Linked DNA regions of Nothobranchius furzeri. The protein of the gene in region 2 interacts with the protein of the main gene of each other region in a pairwise test. Links are inferred from orthologs where the notes say so. Each region holds a gene or a part of one and is shown on either strand. Other genes may lie near its edges. The genes, in order: waca; nfe2l2a; mafk; mafga; troponin T, slow skeletal muscle.

What was found.
Region 1: the proteins of nfe2l2a (region 2) and waca interact in a two-hybrid assay, tested with the Homo sapiens proteins (2 studies listed by BioGRID and IntAct). The two-hybrid records come from large-scale screens. The link is inferred for Nothobranchius furzeri from reciprocal best matches to the Homo sapiens genes NFE2L2 and WAC.
Region 3: the proteins of nfe2l2a (region 2) and mafk interact in binary tests that used the Homo sapiens proteins (3 or more experiments, as listed by UniProt). The link is inferred for Nothobranchius furzeri from reciprocal best matches to the Homo sapiens genes NFE2L2 and MAFK.
Region 4: the proteins of nfe2l2a (region 2) and mafga interact in binary tests that used the Homo sapiens proteins (3 or more experiments, as listed by UniProt). The link is inferred for Nothobranchius furzeri from reciprocal best matches to the Homo sapiens genes NFE2L2 and MAFG.
Region 5: the proteins of nfe2l2a (region 2) and troponin T, slow skeletal muscle interact in binary tests that used the Homo sapiens proteins (3 or more experiments, as listed by UniProt). The two-hybrid records come from large-scale screens. The link is inferred for Nothobranchius furzeri from reciprocal best matches to the Homo sapiens genes NFE2L2 and TNNT1.

What each region holds. Positions count from the first base shown.
Region 1 is NC_091747.1:30,792,130-30,796,349, reverse strand, and holds the start of waca (WW domain-containing adapter protein with coiled-coil), read left to right. Parts: upstream 1-1,408; 5' UTR 1,409-1,610; coding exon 1,611-1,651; intron 1,652-1,844; coding exon 1,845-1,875; intron 1,876-2,876; coding exon 2,877-3,069; intron 3,070-4,220.
Region 2 is NC_091754.1:21,645,183-21,649,383, forward strand, and holds the start of nfe2l2a (nuclear factor erythroid 2-related factor 2a), read right to left. Parts: upstream 2,806-4,201; 5' UTR 2,663-2,805; coding exon 2,624-2,662; intron 590-2,623; exon of another isoform or gene 562-589; intron 461-561; coding exon 191-460; intron 1-190.
Region 3 is NC_091745.1:5,283,166-5,287,370, reverse strand, and holds the start of mafk (transcription factor MafK), read right to left. Parts: upstream 2,812-4,205; 5' UTR 2,665-2,811; coding exon 2,450-2,664; intron 1-2,449. UniProt on the Homo sapiens protein: Since they lack a putative transactivation domain, the small Mafs behave as transcriptional repressors when they dimerize among themselves.
Region 4 is NC_091752.1:59,016,434-59,020,555, reverse strand, and holds the start of mafga (v-maf avian musculoaponeurotic fibrosarcoma oncogene homolog Ga), read right to left. Parts: upstream 2,806-4,122; 5' UTR 2,367-2,805; intron 1-2,366. UniProt on the Homo sapiens protein: Since they lack a putative transactivation domain, the small Mafs behave as transcriptional repressors when they dimerize among themselves.
Region 5 is NC_091756.1:33,965,749-33,969,429, forward strand, and holds troponin T, slow skeletal muscle, read right to left. Parts: upstream 2,282-3,681; 5' UTR 2,154-2,281; coding exon 2,022-2,153; intron 1,946-2,021; coding exon 1,829-1,945; intron 1,726-1,828; coding exon 1,648-1,725; intron 1,568-1,647; coding exon 1,450-1,567; intron 1,373-1,449; coding exon of another isoform or gene 1,369-1,372; coding exon 1,106-1,368; intron 1,029-1,105; coding exon 988-1,028; intron 702-987; coding exon 656-701; 3' UTR 501-655; downstream 1-500. Other genes in the region: dynein axonemal assembly factor 3, read left to right, coding at 167-305. UniProt on the Homo sapiens protein: Troponin T is the tropomyosin-binding subunit of troponin, the thin filament regulatory complex which confers calcium-sensitivity to striated muscle actomyosin ATPase activity.

The DNA.
Region 1 (4,220 bases), on a different chromosome or scaffold from region 2:
GTTTCTAGAACTGCACTTTTCTGGACTGAGACGTCTGATGTTTTTCCTGGGATCTCCTTTAGCCAGTCTTCCAGTTTGGGGGTTACTGCCCCCAGTGCCCCGATGACCATGGGCATTACTGTCTACACCGTTGCCGCTCAATCTGCCTCACTTCTCAACTAATCCCGTGATACAAGCTAGTTTTAAGATTTGATCACAAATCATTTTAAATATACTTCCCCATCAGTACACATGCCCATCACTCTAAATAATTTATTTCCTCCTGGTCTCACTGATGTTATATATCCCCATCAAGGAAATTACCACCTGAAGTGTTGCGCCAATGCCCTATTCAGTGGCACTACTGGTTACTGATGCGGGTGGTGGTCTTTACGTGTGTTTAAAAGAATTGCAGCTTGTGTTTATTTCCGATGATGTTTATTAGTTCGTCTTCTTCCAAAATGTCCATGATCCATTTACTCGCAATTAAAGTGGTTTACAATGAATGCGTTACTTGCCCCAATGGCTGTCCGCAGAGTCCATTACACACAGCCATTGTCCTCACTACACAGTAAAAAAAACTGTTTGTCCCATTTCAGCAACATCTGAGTCTGATCTGAATTGGTTTAAGTAGGCTGGTGCTTCCACAATCAAATCAACCAATCAGCTGAGGCCAAGCCTCCTCTCAGGTATGCAGACATAAAACACATTTGACTCCTACACCACCTTTGAGGACCTCTATAGGAATGGTTCTTTTTGGAGTTTTTCAGAACCCTCTTCCAAAGCAAAACTTTTGCTCTCTCACCTGTTCCGTTATTTTCAGGAACAGGTGCATTTACTTTTGCTGAGGAAGGTGTTTCCTAACCAAAACACATTTTATGTTTTTTTTTTTTTACAAAATCAAACATAGTTATAGTGATAGTTAAAATATAACTATAAATAAATGTAATACATAAAAATGTAAAACCCCAACAGGCTGCACCAAAAACGGCCATAGTTGCCCACCCTACGTTGATTACAGCTATGCTCTGGAGAGTGAGGAACCCACCCAACATGGCAGCCACGCTTTTACGCTCTCCAGCTTCCAATGAGGCGTCTACGTAATGACGTCGCAATAAGGTTGCCAAGTTTGTATTTAATACATGTTTTCCGTAAACAAGCCCCCTTTAAATAACAAGTTATATAAAACTGTATTAATAAGTAATTAATATCCTTTTCCATGGGGCAATAAAATATTTTTGTCTTATATAATTCACGCTCTGGCTTAAAAATGTTTTTTGTTAAATCTGATTTAATTTAGTAGTGTTTAGTAGCATTTGATCTATTTTTACATCTATAAAAATGTCAAAAAGATTCTACACTTAACTAGTACATGTATGAATACAGAATCCTTGCTCAAGTATCTGGCAACCCAGCAAGAGCTACTGCTGCGTTTTGATCGCTAGCTAGTCGGCTGCGTGAGAGTGGGAGATGGACTGAGTGAGGGTGCTCTCTAGACCTGTTCCCGATAGCATTGCTATACCCACAAGCTAGGCTGAAATAACAGACGATTTTTATTGCTACATCAACAACAAAAACAGTGTCATTATCAGTCTTTCACATCCCACTCTAAACACACTAACACGGCATTGATGGTAATGTATGCAAGGAAACAACCGAGACTCGGCGATGGGTAAACATCATTTTAACGTTACTTATTTTCTTTTTCCTCGTAGCTACTGCGCTTTCACAATCCGCCATTTTTACTGAAAGCCAAATTAAGTGACTAGAAACTTGAGCGTTCAGCTGTTGCTCCACTGGAAAACACATTTTCAGTGCCGATATTTGATGTAACACATTCACAACTGTTTACTTTCTGTCTGCAGGTGCGACCGAAGAGATTCTCAGCCCTATCAGGTACTTGTTTGGACACCCAAGGCTGTTAGCATGCTAGCAGCAAAAAAGATTAAAATGGACACTCTAGCTCAGGCTTCTGTGGTGTGCAGGCCTCGGTGCGGAAAATAACACGAAAAGTAGGAGTCTCGCTTAAAATCACAATTTAAACACAGAAAACACACGCAACGCGTCTATTTTGGGGCCCACGTAACGTACGCGTACACAGGGCCGTCGAATAACGCTGCTTTGACACGACAGAAAGACTTTTACTGCGGATCAAAGCTAATGTTAGCTGATAGCCTGATTGCTCGCTATTCCGATTAGGGCGCCGCCGAAAATCAGTCATTTTAAGGATGTAAGCAGCAAAATGCGACTAGTTTATGGCCTGAGGCTGTACACGTAGAATAAACATGACACTGAAGCGAAGACTAATCAGGACGTGTCTCCTGAAGTGTTGCCTGGCCTTTTAAAAGCCTGGTTGTACGTAACTATGTTGGTTTATGAGCGCCTCTCTATGCCAGGTTAGTGAGACTACCTCTAACTCTCATTAATCAAGGTGAGCTCAATAAAATTGCGTTCTGTTGGATCTTTATCAACTTTACTGAAGCTGGCGTCATAAAGGAGATATTAGGGTTGATGTTCACTCAAGAGGCAGGTGTCTTAATGGTAATGAAACAGTCTGATGTTCTTAATGACTGGAGGTTCTGCTCTTGACGCGTGATTTTAGCAGGTAAATGTCCTCATTTACAAACGAGGTGTTTCAGAGGGAGCGCACAGAGAAAAATCAAATGGAAGGAATCTGGTTTCTCATAGTGGAATGAAGCAATGTTTAGTCCTTGTGCTCTTCCTCATTTCCCCCCTCTGCCATGAAATTGTGTATTTGTAATAACACAAGCTAAACGTGACTCAGTTTAAATCCTTTGGTCGTGTACATTTGTAATAACACGCATTATGGAAGTTCCTCTGATGTAAACCAGCTGCGATTACTACAGTTCCCTGACATGTTTGTTTTGTGTTTACAGACTCTTAAGTACTCATCCAAGAGCCATCCAGGAGGGGACCATCGACACGAAAAGACGCAAGACTCCTCTGATGTCACTCCTCCCTGCAAAATGCTCAGGAGGTCTGACAGCCCTGAGAACAAACACGTGGAGAGCACAGGACACAGCAGAGCCAAGGCTGTCCACACACACCGGGTCAGAGACCGGGACGGAGGTAAGGTCCTGGTTAATGCAGATAACTAGATGAGTATCACCAGTACGCCACATAACTAAATGTTCACTAAGTTTACCACATGCTGCCTGGTCAGTCAAGTGTAAAGAGCAAATCATGTTAAATATACACGGCTTTCACCGCGGCTTGAAAGCCTGGAAAGTGTTTGAATTTTTAAAATGATGAATTTTCAAGATTGTGAAACTGGTTGTAGAGAAGCAATCTTTCTTTTCTCAAGACGAGGAGGATTTTTTAAGGGCATGATGGTTTGGCTGTGTTTACTTTAGCAGCATGCTATCCAGGTGTAGTTAGCTTGTCATCTAAAGATGTGTGTGCTGTAGCGTGAGCCACAGTTAGGTCCAGCATCTGGGTGTGTGTGTGTGTGTCTATGTTTACTATAGCTCCATTCTCTTGCATCATTTTTGACCCATGAGCTGACTGGAAGCAGAGGAGACTTGTGTAATGATAAATGCCTGTGTTGGTGGAACCAGTGGATGCTAAGGCTGGGCAATATGGACCAAAACTTATATCTCAATATATTTTTGCTGAATTCCCATATAAATATATCTCAGTAGTTTTCCTCCTGTAAAGTATTTACAAGTTAACTCACTTCAAGCTGTCTTGAGAAATTATAAACATACATCAGTATATTAAATGCATAAAAATGTGTTGATTCTTGTCAAACTTTAACCGTAGTGCCTATTCTCTGGTGCAGCGGTCTGTTAACACACACACACGCGCGTGCACACACACAGTTGAGAGCTAGAGGTGTATCAAATGTCCCAGAGGCACTTTTTAATTATATATTTATAATTGATATAAAATAATTTCAATTTCTTCTAGAGGTGGGCCATATTGTATACTTCTTGCCCAGAGAAAAAACATCTATCATGTTAAACTAAATTTATGATGATGTAATTGCATCTACTGAAGATCACATGGGTCATGCACCATGGAGTTAATAGTTATCAGGGCAAACATGGCTGCAGTCTAACAGTATTGGCTCATATCAGCGATTATACTGCAATGACTCAGAGACTCTGGTTGCTGTTTTATGAGTATTATTTTCAGGCTTCTGTCACCGTAACCCACGCCTTCCTAACTCTTCACTTGTTCAACAGAATCGCTCGTAACAGAGTACTTACTAGCATAGC
Region 2 (4,201 bases):
TTTGTGGCGTGTTTTTGATTTTGTACGGCGGCTTTAAAATGTATTCCACTTCGATGCAAACCACCTGACCCACCTGTGTGTGTGTGTCTGCTAGATGAGGTGGTTACCTAGCTACAACACAACCAGGGCCTATCACATGATGTAGGAGTGGCCAGCCACCAACAGGAGTAATGATGCCAGTTGCTTGTACCTGAGTAACCTCCAAGGGTGTGCCAGCTGACTGCAGAGGGGCGCTGGGCGGTGGTGGGCGAGGGATGTACTCCCCAGTCTCCTCATCTAGCTGTAGCTGTGCCAGAAGGGCCTTCTCTTGCTCCCGCAGCAGGTGCAGCTTCTTCTCCTCCTCCAGCTCGCGCTGCCTCTGCAGCTCGTGCTCTTTCTGACGGTGGTTGTAGTCGAACACCTCGCGCCTGGCTCCGAGATCGATGTCCTGCTTCCACAGGATGTCAATCAGGTCCATGTCCTGGAAAGACGGCCACAGATCACCTTAGAGAGTTGCGAGCTGCCGTGCCATCCTGCAGCGATGAGTGCCGGAACAACAACTGTGAAATCAGGCCGTCGTACCTGCCACACCCTGTCCTGTTTCTGCTCGCTGTCAGCAACGTGGTACAAAGCCCAAGTGGAAGAAGAGAATGAATTATAAATGTTGTTCTCTGTTTTCATTGTCGCCACCAAACACCCGACAGCGTCTTGATCTGATAGCCTTACCCATCTCATTACACTGAGGTGTGAGTTCTTTTGTCCCGCTCCAACTCTTCAATAATCAAGTGACCCTATCATTTTATGCGACCCTTTGAGTTTTCTAAACCAGTTTAAAGCCAAACGTTCGTTTGCAACTTGTACACTATGAAGACAGAAATAATTTTACACCATAAATTCAGATCAGAAACCAAACAACTATAAGAATCTTCTGAGTTTCCACTCACCACCATCATGCTTTGTGCTCTTTAAATGAAAAAACCCCAAAGTTGGTTGTTGTTTTACATTCTTCTTGGGTTTTTCTCTGTAGTTTATTTACAGAAGAAATCTGTTTCACAAGACCTCAGGATGTTGCATGAAACCAGACACCGGTCTGAGAAAAACCTTAGAAGCACGTGACATGTTTGTTCCTCAGATCGGTGAATAAAAACTACTTCTGATTGGTGGCTTTATCCTGAACTCTGGGCAAAAAAACCCACAAAAAGCAGAACAATGCAAAAACGAACGGGGTGTAACTATCTGATTAAAACGTATAGCGACAAACCACCATAGCAAACAGATGAGCTCCTATGTATTTTTGGACACTGTTGACACAATCTTTCCTGAATTTGTCTTTTCAAAATAAAAAGCCACTAACACCCCTTGCCTCAGTGTTGCATCAGAGTCATGACCGCCAAAGGATTACACGTTACTGAGCCTGCCTACGATAAATCACGCTCCCCGGCAGAAAGGTGAACATGCAACCAGAAATTATAGCATTTGGCAGAATGAGGAAGTCCTCAAAAAAAGTGTAGGTGGCATCTGAAAACACACCTGTGGTCGATGTTTTTCAAAGCTTAAAAAAAGAAACTGCGTTAGTCAGGCCTTAAATAGAAACTTCAAGTTCAGCACTTAAAATTCTCCTTTTGTGCACCACAGAAGTTTTATTTTAGTTAGATTCTCTTTTAGAGTAACCAGAAAATGCTAAAGTGTGGTGGCTTTTCTTTTGTAAGGTCAATGAGGATTTCACAAGACTCAGGTGGTCACGTGAACGAGGAAGCTTGGATTTCCCCTCGACAACATGCAGCCACACCAGTCAGACCACCATCCTTTCAGGTAAAGTTAAGACTAATGAAACGGGTCACCATAATGAGTATTTCACAACATTAAAGGCTGATCTGAACACGTGTATCATTTAAGATGGTTCTTTATTTAAAGGAAGTGAAAGGGGCCGATCTTTCCTTTGATCATTATTCTTTGGACATTCACCCTTGACCGAGAGTGGTGAAACACAGCAACACATGTTCCAAAACAGCCGCTTTAGGCTCTGATCTGTCATTTTTAAACACCCAAGCTCCCTTTGACAACATTCTTGCCTAAACACAGTAAAATAATTAACTAGTCAATTGAGAAAAGAGTTTTTGTGTTTTATGTAACAAAATCAGATTTAAAACAACAAAAATAGAAGCTACTATATGTTTTTTTTAAATATATAATAAAATGGTGGTTAGAAGATGGCCAGTATCAGATAAGGGATCACATGCCTGGGAGAGGAAGGGGGTGAGGAGGAAGAGGGAAAGGACGCGCATTCTTGTGAGAAAACAATTTTCTCCAGGTTTACCCACTTTTAAAGGCATGACACTTTGTATGGCCAAGGGGGAAAGAGCCAACGCCGGTTAAATCGTGCCACTGATATTTTATGTTATTCCTATTTTGATTTCCCTGCGAAGAAAAACGTTACATGACTTGCAGAACTGAAAGTTTTACATGAGTTACCGGTTTTATTTAAATGTTTTATCACAATAATTCCAAATTAAATAGTACAATCTGCCCCAACTTAGATATTTGATTTTAATTAAAAATACATAAGAAGGCCACCTAAAGTGTTATAACAGAGGACGTTGACAAGGTTTGTTCAAAGAAAGCTAATTAATCAAATATTGTTTACCTGTTGACTGGAATGCATCACCTCCATTTCCATCATCATGGAGATCTGTGCTGACGTAAATAAAACGCCTTATAGGTGAAAACTGGATGTATTATTAATCCACAAATGGCAGGTTAAAATGGCGAGCGGTCCGTAAGGCCAATACTGTCCGTGAGGGCGGCCGCAGCTGACTTTCGGGAAATATTTGCCTCCTCCGGAGCTCGAGAGCGTCACGGAACCGATGGCCCCGCCCACCAAGCTGCGGCTCCGGGATCGTCCCACTCACGGCGGCCTATGAGACAGGAGCATAAGACCCGCTGTGCGCATGCGCGCTATGCCAGCCTGCCTAAACCAGTCTATGGCCTAAACTCATAACTGTTTAACATACTGGTACCCAAGTAGTTATTACACAACTTACTTACACGTGTTTAAATTATCCTCAAATATCCACGTGAGCTTAATTTTATATCTAAAAAAGATATTTTGTGCTTAAATTGGCCTCTCCAAACATTGCAGCTGTTACCTATCAATGTTTTTGTTTCGTTTGGTAAACAGCGAGCCCTGCTGGTGGTTTGGGTGTGGGACTGGACGCCATGGCTTCTCCTGTCTCCTTGAGGTTATTTACTGACAACAGGAAAATTTCTATTAAAAAAAATTGTACATTTATTGAAAATGCCTCTTGGAGACATAAAGGCTGTTTTAAAAAGCACTTATTTATATGTGGTAACTTACTATTTTTGAATAGTACTAGCACATTTAAAGGTATTTGTATGGTATTTTGGCTACTTTCTAACAATTCCTAGATGTCACATTGCATCATACATTTGCATGTCTTCAGTAAAAAGTATGCAACTGATTCACTGCATAACAACAGGTTCTTTTTACAATTATGTCACATATAGTGGTCAAAATAATTAAAAGGTGAATTTTGATTATTTGTTTTCAAGTTTTGGTCATTGTGCTGTTACATCATCACGTAGTGTTTCTGATCTCCTTCAGCTTTTTGTTCCTTTCCTTTATTGTTTAATTGCAAAATATGAAAACTCAAGTGTCGTAAAATAATCTCAAAGAGATGCCTTCAAACAATAACTCAAGACCTGAGAGATACTTCATAGTTCAACCATGTGTGTGTTTTGTCGCTAAATAGGCTACTACTTTACGTGTCAAACTGTTGGGTTAGTTTTTATTCATCTAAATAAGTGGGGAAAGTTGCTTTTATGCCTATTAATAGCAATTAACTTGGTAATCTAAAAAATAGTTTCTTTCAAATTTGTCAAAGACAAAATAGTGTTGTTTTTCTATTGAGCTTGAGACTTTCATGTCTAAATATTTCATAAGTTTGCACTTGACAGAGAAAAAAACTGCCAAAGTTCAATGAAAAACTTTGATAGACCATCAGAATAAATGACAAAGAGCTTTTTGAAAAGTATAAGAAAGTCTGATTTCTTGGAAGAAAGATGAAAATGAGGAATGACTCAAGACTTTTGCACAGTACTTATTCATTTGAACATATTTGAAACAACAGAGGAAATATACACTGAACAATGAGAATTACTTTAACTTTTTTCTGCCAAATAAACTGCTTCGATAACTTTCACC
Region 3 (4,205 bases), on a different chromosome or scaffold from region 2:
TCGTTACCAGTTATCTAAAAGGGTTGATAGCTTTAGGAGGCAGACACTGTTTCAAGTAGAGCCACTGTTTTCCTCAGAAAAAAAAAAATTAAAATCACTCAAAAACTACATTTTGTATTCCTTGTTGTCTGATCCTGAAATTAAAGACAGAAAAGCAAGAGCAATCTCTGGAGGAAGACACAATTTTCCATAACCTTTAATTATGGTTCATATTTCTCTGTGTCCAACAACCAACGCATGGCACACCTGAGGGTCGGGTGTGACAGCTGAATGTTTAGACAGCATGGTGTGTTTGTTTGTCCTACGAATCACATTCAATTAGAGTCTCCAAGTTGTCATCAGCACCAAGGGAACTCCCCGTAACACAATCCTGTTAACAGGTGCGTGTGTGAACCTGGCACCTCCCCCACCTGCGGCTGTGATGCTGCAAAAGCAGATGTTGAGGTTCAGGTGGCTCGTCAACATAAGCAGGAAAAGACCTTTCTTTGATGCAAAATCTGTCCACATAATCAGCTCTTATTGCCTGTTTACACTCCACTCACTGCATTCCTGTGTTTAAAATCCCAGGTTTCTAGCTATGGCATGGAAATTGCTCCATAGGCCCACAGTGAAGGATTGGATGAAACAGATGTTATAGGCAATGCCGCTGGAACAGATTACCTATATCTTAAAGGCCAAGCAACATTTATTTGACGAAATATGGACACCTTTTCTAACATATATTAAGAGGATGGACATAAAAATCTGAGGACTTATAAAGTGGGAGAGTAGGAAAATAATCGGTCTTCTGACCAGCATTAAGACTGGAATGGGAGAAGCAAAAGCAAGGTGTAATTCGGGGACTTCTTACTCAAAGTTTTGTTAAACATGTCTATGTGAATATTGCCTTCAATACTATATATGCTCTTACATTGGAGAGGATCGCCAGAAGCACAACCAAAATTGTTAAATTGTTCTATTGTTCTGTTGTTCCATGAAGATTTTATACAGAATGTACTTTCAGTATACAACATAATACTGTGTGAAAGGTGTACAGTAAACTGAAAACTCAATAAAATATACTTTTTGAAAAAAAGTCCCAGGTTTCCAAAGTAAATAATCAACAGTCAACTTTTTTCCCTCCAGAATGAACAAAACACATCACAGGGAACATGTTCCTGTGACTCATCGAATCAGCAACCACAGCTATTTCACTTTCACAACATCTCACCACTAAACGTTTTGCTCCCCACACCGCTTTCATCCGTCACTAGAGTCCAGAAAAGTGACATCCTGTGTAACAATGTGTGTGTGTGTGTGTGTTTTCATGTGGAGAAGGGGATTTCTCCCCGTGCACTTCTGTGTTCTAATGAGTCAGCTGCTGTCCCTTCTCCATCCAAAGACATCACAACCTTAGTGACTGGACCACATGTTCATCTTATGACAGAGGAGTAGCTACACCCGCTCCTCTGAAGGGCGCTGTGCCTGTGTGCACCCACCAGACACCAGAGTCAAACAGCAGACAACCCAGCTCCAATCTGTGGCACCTCTCAGTGGAAGAGAGCTTCCATTTATTAATAAAATACTAACTACAAGTTTTATGCAAAAGCATAAAGCAAGAGCAGCGAGAATCATGTACTATTAGGTCTTTGCACTTTCAGATCACTGCTTCCTAATCTTAACCCAAGTCACTAAGATTTATAGCTCAGCAGAGCGATGGGATGAAGCCCTTTCTTCCACCGCAGAGATTTAGAGTTTGTGGAAAGATGTGGTCCTTGTGTTGTGTAGCTGGTTTGTGTTACCAGTCATCCCTGGTGGTCTACCCTTTGTCCCACATGTATAAAATGCAGACCACGTGTTGAATCATGTCAGAAGCAGAGCTGCGATTTTGCATGATAACGAATGCGTGCTTTTAAATTAATTATTTTAACATACAAAGCAGAACTTATACTTGCTGTTTACACTTCCATTTTATTTCAACAGCTCATCAAAGGTGTAAATCTAATAGCCTATTAAATAAATAAACAAATAAATCTTCTCTAATGCATCACGAATATGTTGTAGTTAAACTGGTTATTAGTGGTTTTCAGTGGAATCGCTGTTTTTATTTATTTCCTCGTTATAAGGATTAAACTACAAACAGAAAATTCCACAGTTCTGATGTTAAATCAGCACAAATGCATTTAAACTCGCGACAACTCGGCGCGCGCCGTCTTTTCGTACATTGTGTTTTGTTTCTCCAACAACACGTGTCCTCGCGACCAACGCACACAAACCCAAAGTCAACTTTCAGAAACTATATTTTAAAAGATAAAGAAAAGACAAATATTTTTGTTATTAAACGTGTGCGGCAAGCGCGAGCCACGCAGCCCGTCTGTGCCGCTGTGGCATCGCGAGCACTTGAACAATTTAGAGAGGAATGTCAAAACATCTTCCATAAAAAAGAGCAAAAGTGGGAAAACAAGCTCACCTCTGTGAACGCGGATGTTTGTAGACGGAGGGAGTAAAACCGGCGGGGCTCGCTTTCAGGCGGTGATGAATCCGGACAGCGTCGGTACCGGACGGCGCAGCGGTCGATCCTCGTACTAAATAAACTACAAAACAACAACAATGTACCAACATTCCACGCTCTGCTTCCGCAAGCGCCCGCGTCATCAGTTCCTCGTGACCGCCCCCTCCATTCATGAAAATAACTTTGTGCTGACGTCAGTCTGAGAGGGGGGGAGGCCAGAAATAGAAGTTAGACACTGATGCTGACCGCTTTTGCTTACTTTACAAAAGTAGTTAGTGAGCTGCCAGCAAACAGGAAGATCTAGATCCCCCAGGGTTACTTGTTGCTCCTCCGATGCCCACCTGCTGTGCGCGGACAGGTCTGCCTACAAAGTACTCAAAAATGTGCACTAACAGAGGGAAAACAGACTCTCCCCCTCCTCCTCCTCCCGTCTGACTTTGGGAGCAGCTGCAGCATTCCATTCCTGAGGAAAGTATGCAGAGTAGTAGTCCAGCAGTCACAGGATTTCTCTTATTTTAACTGCAGCCGGTAACGTCACAGGTTATTCTGGGTAATTAAACAATGAATTTATAAGCACGCTGAGCCATATAAGGCCGCAGCTTTTACTGAGGTACCTGCTCAGCAGAAGTTTGGAAGTGAGCTTCTGTGGGGAAAATAATAGAATAGAATAGAATAGAATAGAATAGAATTTATTGAGAGGGAGTATTCTCTTGCTACAGCAGCACATGCACTTAAAGAAAGGAAGAAAATAATAACAGAATTACAGGTAAAGTACCAAAAACAATATGGACAATAGAATAGAATAGAATAGAATAGAATAGAATAGAATTTATTTATCCACAGAGGGAGTATTCTCTTGCTACAGCAGCACATACACTTAAAGAAAGGAAGAAAATAACGGAATTACAGGTAAAGTACCAAAAAACAATATGGACAATAGAATAGAATAGAATAGAATAGAATTTATTGATCCACAGAGGGAGTATTCTCTTGCTACAGCAGCACATGCACTTAAAGAAAGGAAGAAAATAATAACAGAATTACAGGTAAAGTACCAAAAACAATATGGACAATAGAATAGAATAGAATAGAATAGAATAGAATTTATTTATCCACAGAGGGAGTATTCTCTTGCTACAGCAGCACATACACTTAAAGAAAGGAAGAAAATAATAACAGAATTACAGGTAAAGTACCAAAAACAATATGGACAATAGAATAGAATAGAATAGAATAGAATAGAATTTATTGATCCACAGAGGGAGTATTCTCTTGCTACAGCAGCACATGCACTTAAAGAAAGGAAGAAAATAATAACAGAATTACAGGTAAAGTACCAAAAACAATATGGACAATAGAATAATAGAATAGAATAGAATTTATTGATCCACATAGGGAGTATTCTCTTGCTACAGCATCACATACACTTAAAGAAAGGAAGAAAATAATAACAGAATTACAGGTAAAGTACCAAAAAACAATATGGACAATAGAATAGAATAGAATAGAATTTTTTGATCCACAGAGGGAGTATTCTCTTGCTACAGCAGCACATACACTTAAAGAAAGGAAGAAAATAACAGAATTACAGGTAAAGTACCAAAAAACAATATGGACAATAGAATAGAATAGAATAGAATAGAATAGAATAGAATAGAATAGAATACTCCTTTGTTGTCCCAGAGTGGAGAAATTCAGGTATAGCAGCAGTTCA
Region 4 (4,122 bases), on a different chromosome or scaffold from region 2:
ACGAGAAAAGGTGACCGGACCCTGAGGAAGATTGTGGAGAAGGACAGATTCCAGACCTTGGGAGACCTGCAGAAGCAGTGGACTGAGTCTGGAGTAGAAACATCCAGAGCCACCGTGTACAGGCATGTGCAGGAAATGGGCTACAGGTGCCACATTCCCCAGGTCAAGCCACTTTTGAACCAGAAACAGTGGCAAAGCGCCTGACCTGGGCTACAGAGAAGCAGCACTGAATTGTTGCTCAGTGGTCCAAAGTACTTTTTTCAGATGAAAGCAAATTTTGCATGTCATTCGGAAATCACGGTGCCAGAGTATGGAGGAAGACTGGGCAGAGGGAAATGCCAAAATGCCTGAAGTCCAGTGTCAAGTACCCACAGTCAGTGATGGTCTGGGGTGCCATGTCAGCTGCTGGTGTTGGTCCACTGTGCTTTATCAAGGGCAGGGTCAATGCAGCTAGCTATCAGAAGATTTTGGAGCACTTCATGCTTCCATCTGCTGAAAAGCTTTATGGAGATGAAGATTTCATTTTTCAGCACAACCTGGCACCTGCTCACAGTGCCAAAACCACTGGTGAATGGTTAACTGACCATGGTATTACTGTGCTCAATTGGTCTGCCAACTCTCCTGACCTGAACCCCATAGAGATTCTGTAGGATATTGTGAAGAAAGTTGAGAGACTCAAGACCCAACACTCTGGATGAGCTTAAGGCCACTATCGAAGCATCCTGGGCCTCCATAACACCTCAGCAGTGCCACAGGCTGATTGCCTCCATGCCACGCCGCATTGAAGTAGTCATTTCTGCAAAAGGATTCCCGACCAAGTATTGAGTGCATAACTGAACATATTATCTGAAAGTTGACTTTTTTTGTATTAAAACACTTTTCTTTTATTGGTCGGATGAAATTTTTTAGATGCTAATATGCTAATTTTTTAGATAGGAATTTTGGGTTTTCATGAGCTGTATGCCAAAATCATCAATATTAGAAACAATAAAAGGCTTGAACTACTTCAGTTTTGTGCAATGAATCTAATATATATGAAAGTCTAATATTTATCAGTACATTACTGAAAATAATGAACTTCATCACAATATGCTAATTTTTTGAGAAGGACCTGTAGAATCTCCCAATGAGACACTGAAGGTTCTGTCAGCCACGTGCGACACAAACCAATCCAGCGCGACCCTGCAAACACCCACAAAGTCTTCCATCCTAGAAATCAGGAGAGACTGATCAACAGTATCGAATGCAGCCGATAGGTCCAACAATATCAAAATAAAGTCCCCAGAATCAGTTGCCAATAAATGTAATTAAAAACCCAGAGCATTGCAGATTCTGTACTGTGGACTGGCTTAAAACCAGACTGGAATTTTTCTAAATGTAATTTCCCATCAAATACTGGACTAATTCCACATCTGCGTTCTTTTTGTGCATATAAAGGGCCATCATCTTTACTTGTTAGCTGCAGAGAAAGACAGAGATGGGCAGTACGCTTTATCACAAAGCCAAGCTTCTGATGCAAATATCATAATGTCACACACAGGAAGACAAAAGCAGCTGTCAAGTCGATGACAAACTGTTAAATTGTCATTGTCATATGAAAGGAAGCACACTGTTCAGCAAAAACTGAAGGCATGTGAACTGCTTGTCAGGTCATGTGCTTGTTTTATTCTTTACATTCAGGAATTAGCCTATACATGACAAAATGTGACCATCCAGTCATCGCGTGAGTCAAATCATGGCAATTTTACAATCGTTGTTCTCGCGCGCACGCACGCACGCACACACACGCACACACACGCACACACACACGCACAATCAGTCGTGTCTGTTTATCGTGACAGCGCTGCAACAAAACACACATTCTCAGCTAAATGTTGATCATCCAATAGACATATGGGCATGGCGGTCTTGACAAAAGAACTATTTCGATCCATCCTCCATATTAACGGAGGGTTGGAGATGAGCATCGACCCTTATCAGGCGAGCAGACCTTTGTCCGGTGGTGCCATATTTCGGGGTGGGTTCTCAGAATGTCTAAATCCGTCACTGTGATGATGCAGCATGATAAAAAAAAAAATAATAATACATATCGCTTTTTGGGGGCTTTGAAATTCAACATCTCTCTCGGGCTCACCGGCTGTGACATCCCCCCCCCCCCCCCAAAAAAAAATATGTTTGACTACCATTGTCAGGTTTTAACTAAATGAAAAGTCACTTAGGTTAAAAGCAATTCAACATGAACTGGTCGAAAAGCTATTTTCAGGACGATCAAATCAAAGCATTCACATAAACGAAACAATGTTCGATTTTAACAATCCATGCATGTTCGTCTTGGATCAGAAGAAAGAACATCAGCAACAACCAACCTGGTCTTGTTAAGCCGCTGGCTCGACTCGCGGTGATGAAGCAGCCTGTTCGACCAACAGCAAGATGCTCATGAGTTGACAAGCCACCGAAAAAAAAGAAGAAATAAAAATAAGGCTGACAAAACAGACGGCAGCACACCGACGTCTCGCAGAAGCCGCCTGCAGAGGTTTACATGCTTGTTGACATTCCACGACTCAACCTCTCGGTGCCTGATACTTGTCAAAGTGGAAAACTCCACGCCTGCAAAAAACACCAAGTGAGGACATCCCCATGCTCTACCTGCCTACTGTAAACCGCGGCAACAAGCAATTCCTCGAAATAGGAAATCACCTCCGGGACGCGGGATGGTGATACCCACATCAAAAAAACTGTTTCTCAACGTTTTACACGCAGCTGCAGCAGCTCGCCTATACTTGGCTGTAGCTTGTAGCATGGGGCGGAGTGGCCAGAGGCACGACAGCACCATACCATATAAGGAAGTCACTTCTGCGTCACGGGTCCCCGGAAGAATGAAAACATGAATGCAAGTCAATGGGGCTAAAAACGCTGTTTTCTAATTCTGCTTGTTTTGTGCCATGGATTTCACTTATGATGTCCGGGAATTTTAAAGAGCAAGTCATCCCCAAATAAACATTTTTTTTTGCTGCTAAACTAAATAAATGAGTGTCTAATCGTGCTGCAGACACGTTTCGTCAATAATTTGGCACTTCAGTGCATCTTAGTTAAAATTTAAATATTCTGCCTAAAACTGGCAGTGTTGTGCCGTTGTCAGGTAAAAACTCTGCACTGTATTCTAATTTAAATCTGCCACTGCTATTGGCTAAGAAGTATGCTATGACGTAAACTGGTACATTATGATGTCACATTGCTGTCGTGAGCCTGAGTGCGTGTGTATTTGTTAGCGGCTTCGCCCTCTCGGTCTGCCAGGCAACAGTATGTGTTGCATTTTTCAAACATGAAGTGGGAGTGGAGTTAGACTCTGGTAGGGGTTGACTTGCTCTTTAAAGACACATTTTGATACCAAGAGCGTGCGTATTTAGTGTTATTAGTGTTACACTTGGTTATGACGTTCGGTTATGTTAAGTTTTGAGTTAAACTTTACAGTCTGGTATACTGACCTGCAGATATAGCAGAGTATCCTCCTTGCAGATATCACCTGGCCAGTAATGTCTGCCTTTACAACATGATGTGACATAGCAGATGAGTGCCATGTTAAAGACTGTATACTACAGAAAATATTTCCAGAGACTTATCTTCCAAACCTACCTCCATACCAGCTGAGGAATCAGCCGCTCCAGAGTTTTTTGCTTTGTTGGGACGACATTTATTTTGTGGGGGAGAGTGTGGGGAACCAGTTAATGTTAAAGGCTAGAGAACATGACCCCCATTTGAATATTTTGTGTAATTATTTTGTTTGTGCAATTGTACTGTTTATGTGAGGCTAAGTTTGGTCACAGTCCAGCTCAAGTTGTGTTAGGGCAGCAGTAGCTCAACAGGTTGAGCGGGTTGTCCAGTAATCGGAAGGTTGCAGAGGATTCTGCTGTTGTGTCCTTGGGCAAGACACTTAACCCACCTTGCCTGCTGGTGGTGGTCGGAGGGACTGGTGGCGCCTGTGCTCGGCATCCTTGCCTCTGTCAGTGCGCCCCAGGGCAGCTGTGGCTACATCGTAGCTCATCACCATCAGTGTGTGAATGGATGAATGATACACTGTAGTGTAAAGTGCTTTGGAGTCCTTACTCTGAGAGGCGCTATACA
Region 5 (3,681 bases), on a different chromosome or scaffold from region 2:
TGTGTGTGTGTGTGTGTGTGTTTGTGTGTGTGTGTGTGTGTGTGTGTGTGTGTGTGTGTGTGTGTGCGCGCACGTGTGTGTGTGTGTGCGTGTGTGTGTGTGTGTGTGTGTGTGTGTGTGTGTGCGCGCACGTGTGTGTGTGTGTGTGTGTGCGTGTGTGTGTTAGGTACATTTTGGATCTAAGCAAAGAGCAAGAGGTGGGTTTTGCAGAGAAGGTGGCAGCCATGGCTCTGGAGGCGGGATTTGAACCGTGGAACCAGGGACGCAGTGATGACGTCCATGCGGTTTTCAAACTGAAGATGTAAAAATGTTTTCCACTACAAGTGTTTATTCTGATCCTGATGCAAGTAAATGTCAGATTTAGTGATTTTGCATCACATGACCCATTTCTGGAAGATTTGCACTAGCAGGAGGACAGACAGTGATAGGATAATAAATCTGGATCCTGCATATGTTCTGTTTCTTTTTTCAGTAGAAAAAAACATCTAATGAAACAGCAATAAATCTGATTGCATTTTAATAACACCAGTGTAAATGTTCTTTTATTTTTGCATGCACTTTAAAAGCTTCAGATCCAAATGTAACTCAGAAATCAAGCAAACAACAAAATAAAACAGCTGAATGTCACAAAACTGCTGCAGCTTGAGAAACATCGTCACTTCCAGCGTCCTCCCACCTTCCCTTTGCCGTGGACCTTTTTGCTGCAAGAGAAGATTCGGACCAGGTTACTAGCAGCGTTTCAGAGCACTGATCATTATTTCTCAGCAGGATTTCAAAGTGAGATATTCTACTGTTGCTTTCTGCTTCATATAGCTGTGTAAATATCTCATCCTGTCTGCTATGAAGCACGGTTTCTCGAGCTCGTTATAAGCTGCAGCCATTAATCTGTGCTATGTTTGCATAGTCAAAGGTTTACCAGGCTCTGCTTTGCAAGCTGGGCTTTAGGATTTGTGCTGTGGATTAGCATTAACAAGCGGATTGACTCACAATTTTTGCGCATGTTGGATTCTGTTGAGAAGAACGTTAATCTGTAAAAATAGTTCATGAAATTTGTGTCAGAGTTGTTGCAGTTTTTAGGACCTGAACTTTGCGCATTCTCAGCTACCTCATATTTCTGCTTCTTCATCTTCTCGGTCAGGTCAAACTTCTCAGACTCTAGTTGGTAGATCCACTCCCACATTTCTTTGGCTTTCTCTCTGGAAAACATCACGTTTAAATGACACTCCCTGAACACATCAACCTTTTGTGAGACCTTCACTGACCTCAGGCTGTCCTCCCTCAGGTTCTCAATCCCCAGGGGTTTTCTTCGTTCTCCCAGAGTTTTCTTCTTGATCTCCCTCGCCGTTTGCCTTTTGCCTCGTCTTTGTTCTTCCTGCAGAAAACAAAGTACTTCCACCATCAGATCAAGCTATGTCTATCATTTTAAATCCACCTGCTGATAAACTACACCTGCCTTTGCTAGAAATCCTCCAAAATGAGCCCCCATGTTGGAGAGAACCTTCTTCTTCTTGGCCTCATCTTCTGCCCTCTTCTTGGCTTCTTCTTCCTCTTTTCTCTGTCTCTCCTCCTGAAAAAAGCACGACTACACATTGAAAAACAAACAAAAGTTTAATATCAAATAATGCATGTAATCAAATAATCAGTTACTGCAATGCGTGTCTGTCTGTCCCGCTCTTTCTCAGCCCTCACACGCTGCTGCTCAGCTCTCTCTGCTCGCCTTCTCTCCTAAATGATTACAAAAGAGCAGAACCTTTATGTTGTTGATCAGAAGGGTTGCTGTAGGTTTTCAGAGGAGAAAATGAAGGCAAATGCTTGAAAAATTGATCACAATTCTCTCTTTGAGTCCGATCAGCTCCTCTTCCTCTTTCTTCCTCTGCTCAAAGTGGACATCGATCAGCGTCTGAAGCTCCAGGAGATCCTTCTCCATTCTTTTCCTGTGGATGTCCTGGCAGCACACAGGGAGATTTACTGATCTAGAACAACTTATTAATAGTTTTGGTTTTACTGTTGAAGGAACTCACATCAAAATCCACCCTCTCCCCCTCTGGGATTTTTGGTGGAGCGAGCTGAGTGACCATCGGCCTAAAGGACAAAAACAAAAACCTAACAGAATTAAAATCACAGGTTTTATTTTTTATCTCGTTTGACCACATATTTTACTGAAATCCTAGTATTATTAGTACATTTATTTTAAATATACACATCCATCCAATTTCATCCGCTTATCCGGGGTTGGGTCATGGGGGCAGCAGCCTAAGCAGAGAGGCCCAGACTTCCCTCACCCCATCCACTTGGGCCAGCTCCTCCGGGGGAACCCTAAGGCGTTCCCTGGCCAGCCGTGAGACATAGTCCCTCCAGCGTGTCCTGGGTCTTCCTTCAGGTCTCCTCCTGGTTGGACGTGCCTCAAAAACCTCACCAGGTAAACGATCAGGAGGCATCAACTAGATGCCCAAGCCACCTCAACTGGCTCCTCTGGCTCCATGTGGAGGAGCAGCGGGTCTACACCGAGCCCCTCCCAGATGGCCGAGTTTCTCACTCTATCTCTAAGGGAGAGCCCAGCCACCCTGCAGAGAAAACTCATTTCGACCCAACGCTCGTGACCATCGGTGAGGGTAGGAACGTAGATCGACCGGTAAGTCCAGAGCGGATAAACGGAGTAGGAAGTGACGCCACAATCAGCGTCAGCTCTGAGGATGTTTTGCAGTCAGCAAACGAAACGTACGTCAGCAAGGTAAAGAAAAACCTTTCCCGTGTTTTAAAAAGAACCAAAAATGGAAATCGAGAGCTTCGCCGTCCGGCTCAGCTCTTGCATCACTGCAGACGCAGCACCGACCCACCTATCGATCTCAAGCTCCATCTGTCTGGCAAATGAATCAATAACAATAACACAGAAATAACAGAAAAGCAATGAAAAACAATTATATAAGCAGCAAATAATTACATGAATTCAATCATATCCAAACAGAGATGGGAAGAAGTACAAATGTAACTAATTATATCCCTTCTCCCAAACTTTTGTCCACTCTCATTACTTTAATTTTATACTCATATTTGTACTCGAGTCAATGATTTAATTATATCATAAATACACCAAAATGTTCACACACACAAACACACTCATGCTCAGTAAACTTCACAAAACTGTTCTGAATATGTTCTTTTACATTTCTTTTAGAGCACATTGATGAACATTCCTTCAGCTCCATTTTTAATTTATTCCACAGCTTGGTGAATGACCTTACTGACCCTCACTGCTTTTTTTCTTCTTCTTTTTTGCAGAATGAAGAGGATAAATTATACTTTTGTTTCCCCAAATATCCGGACAGTAGCTCACACATGGAAATGTTATTCAACAGTAAAGTGTCTGAAGCGACATGCTGCAGTATGAAACAGCCACATTTCTGGACACTTTGGTTTGTAAAGGCTTTACGTGAGTTCCATCATCATTACCCCCAAGAGATGACTCTTAGGCAGAGGTGTGGACTCGAGTCACATAACTTGGACTCAAGTCACACGACTTAGATTCGAGTCATTATTTTAATGACTTCTGACTTGAAATCTATAAAGACTTACGACTTGACTCGGACTTGAACGCCAATGACTTGCGACTTGAATCGACTTGGATCTGTTGACTTGATGATGACTTCAGCATATTTGATATTTTAGCTCAAAAGTGACACG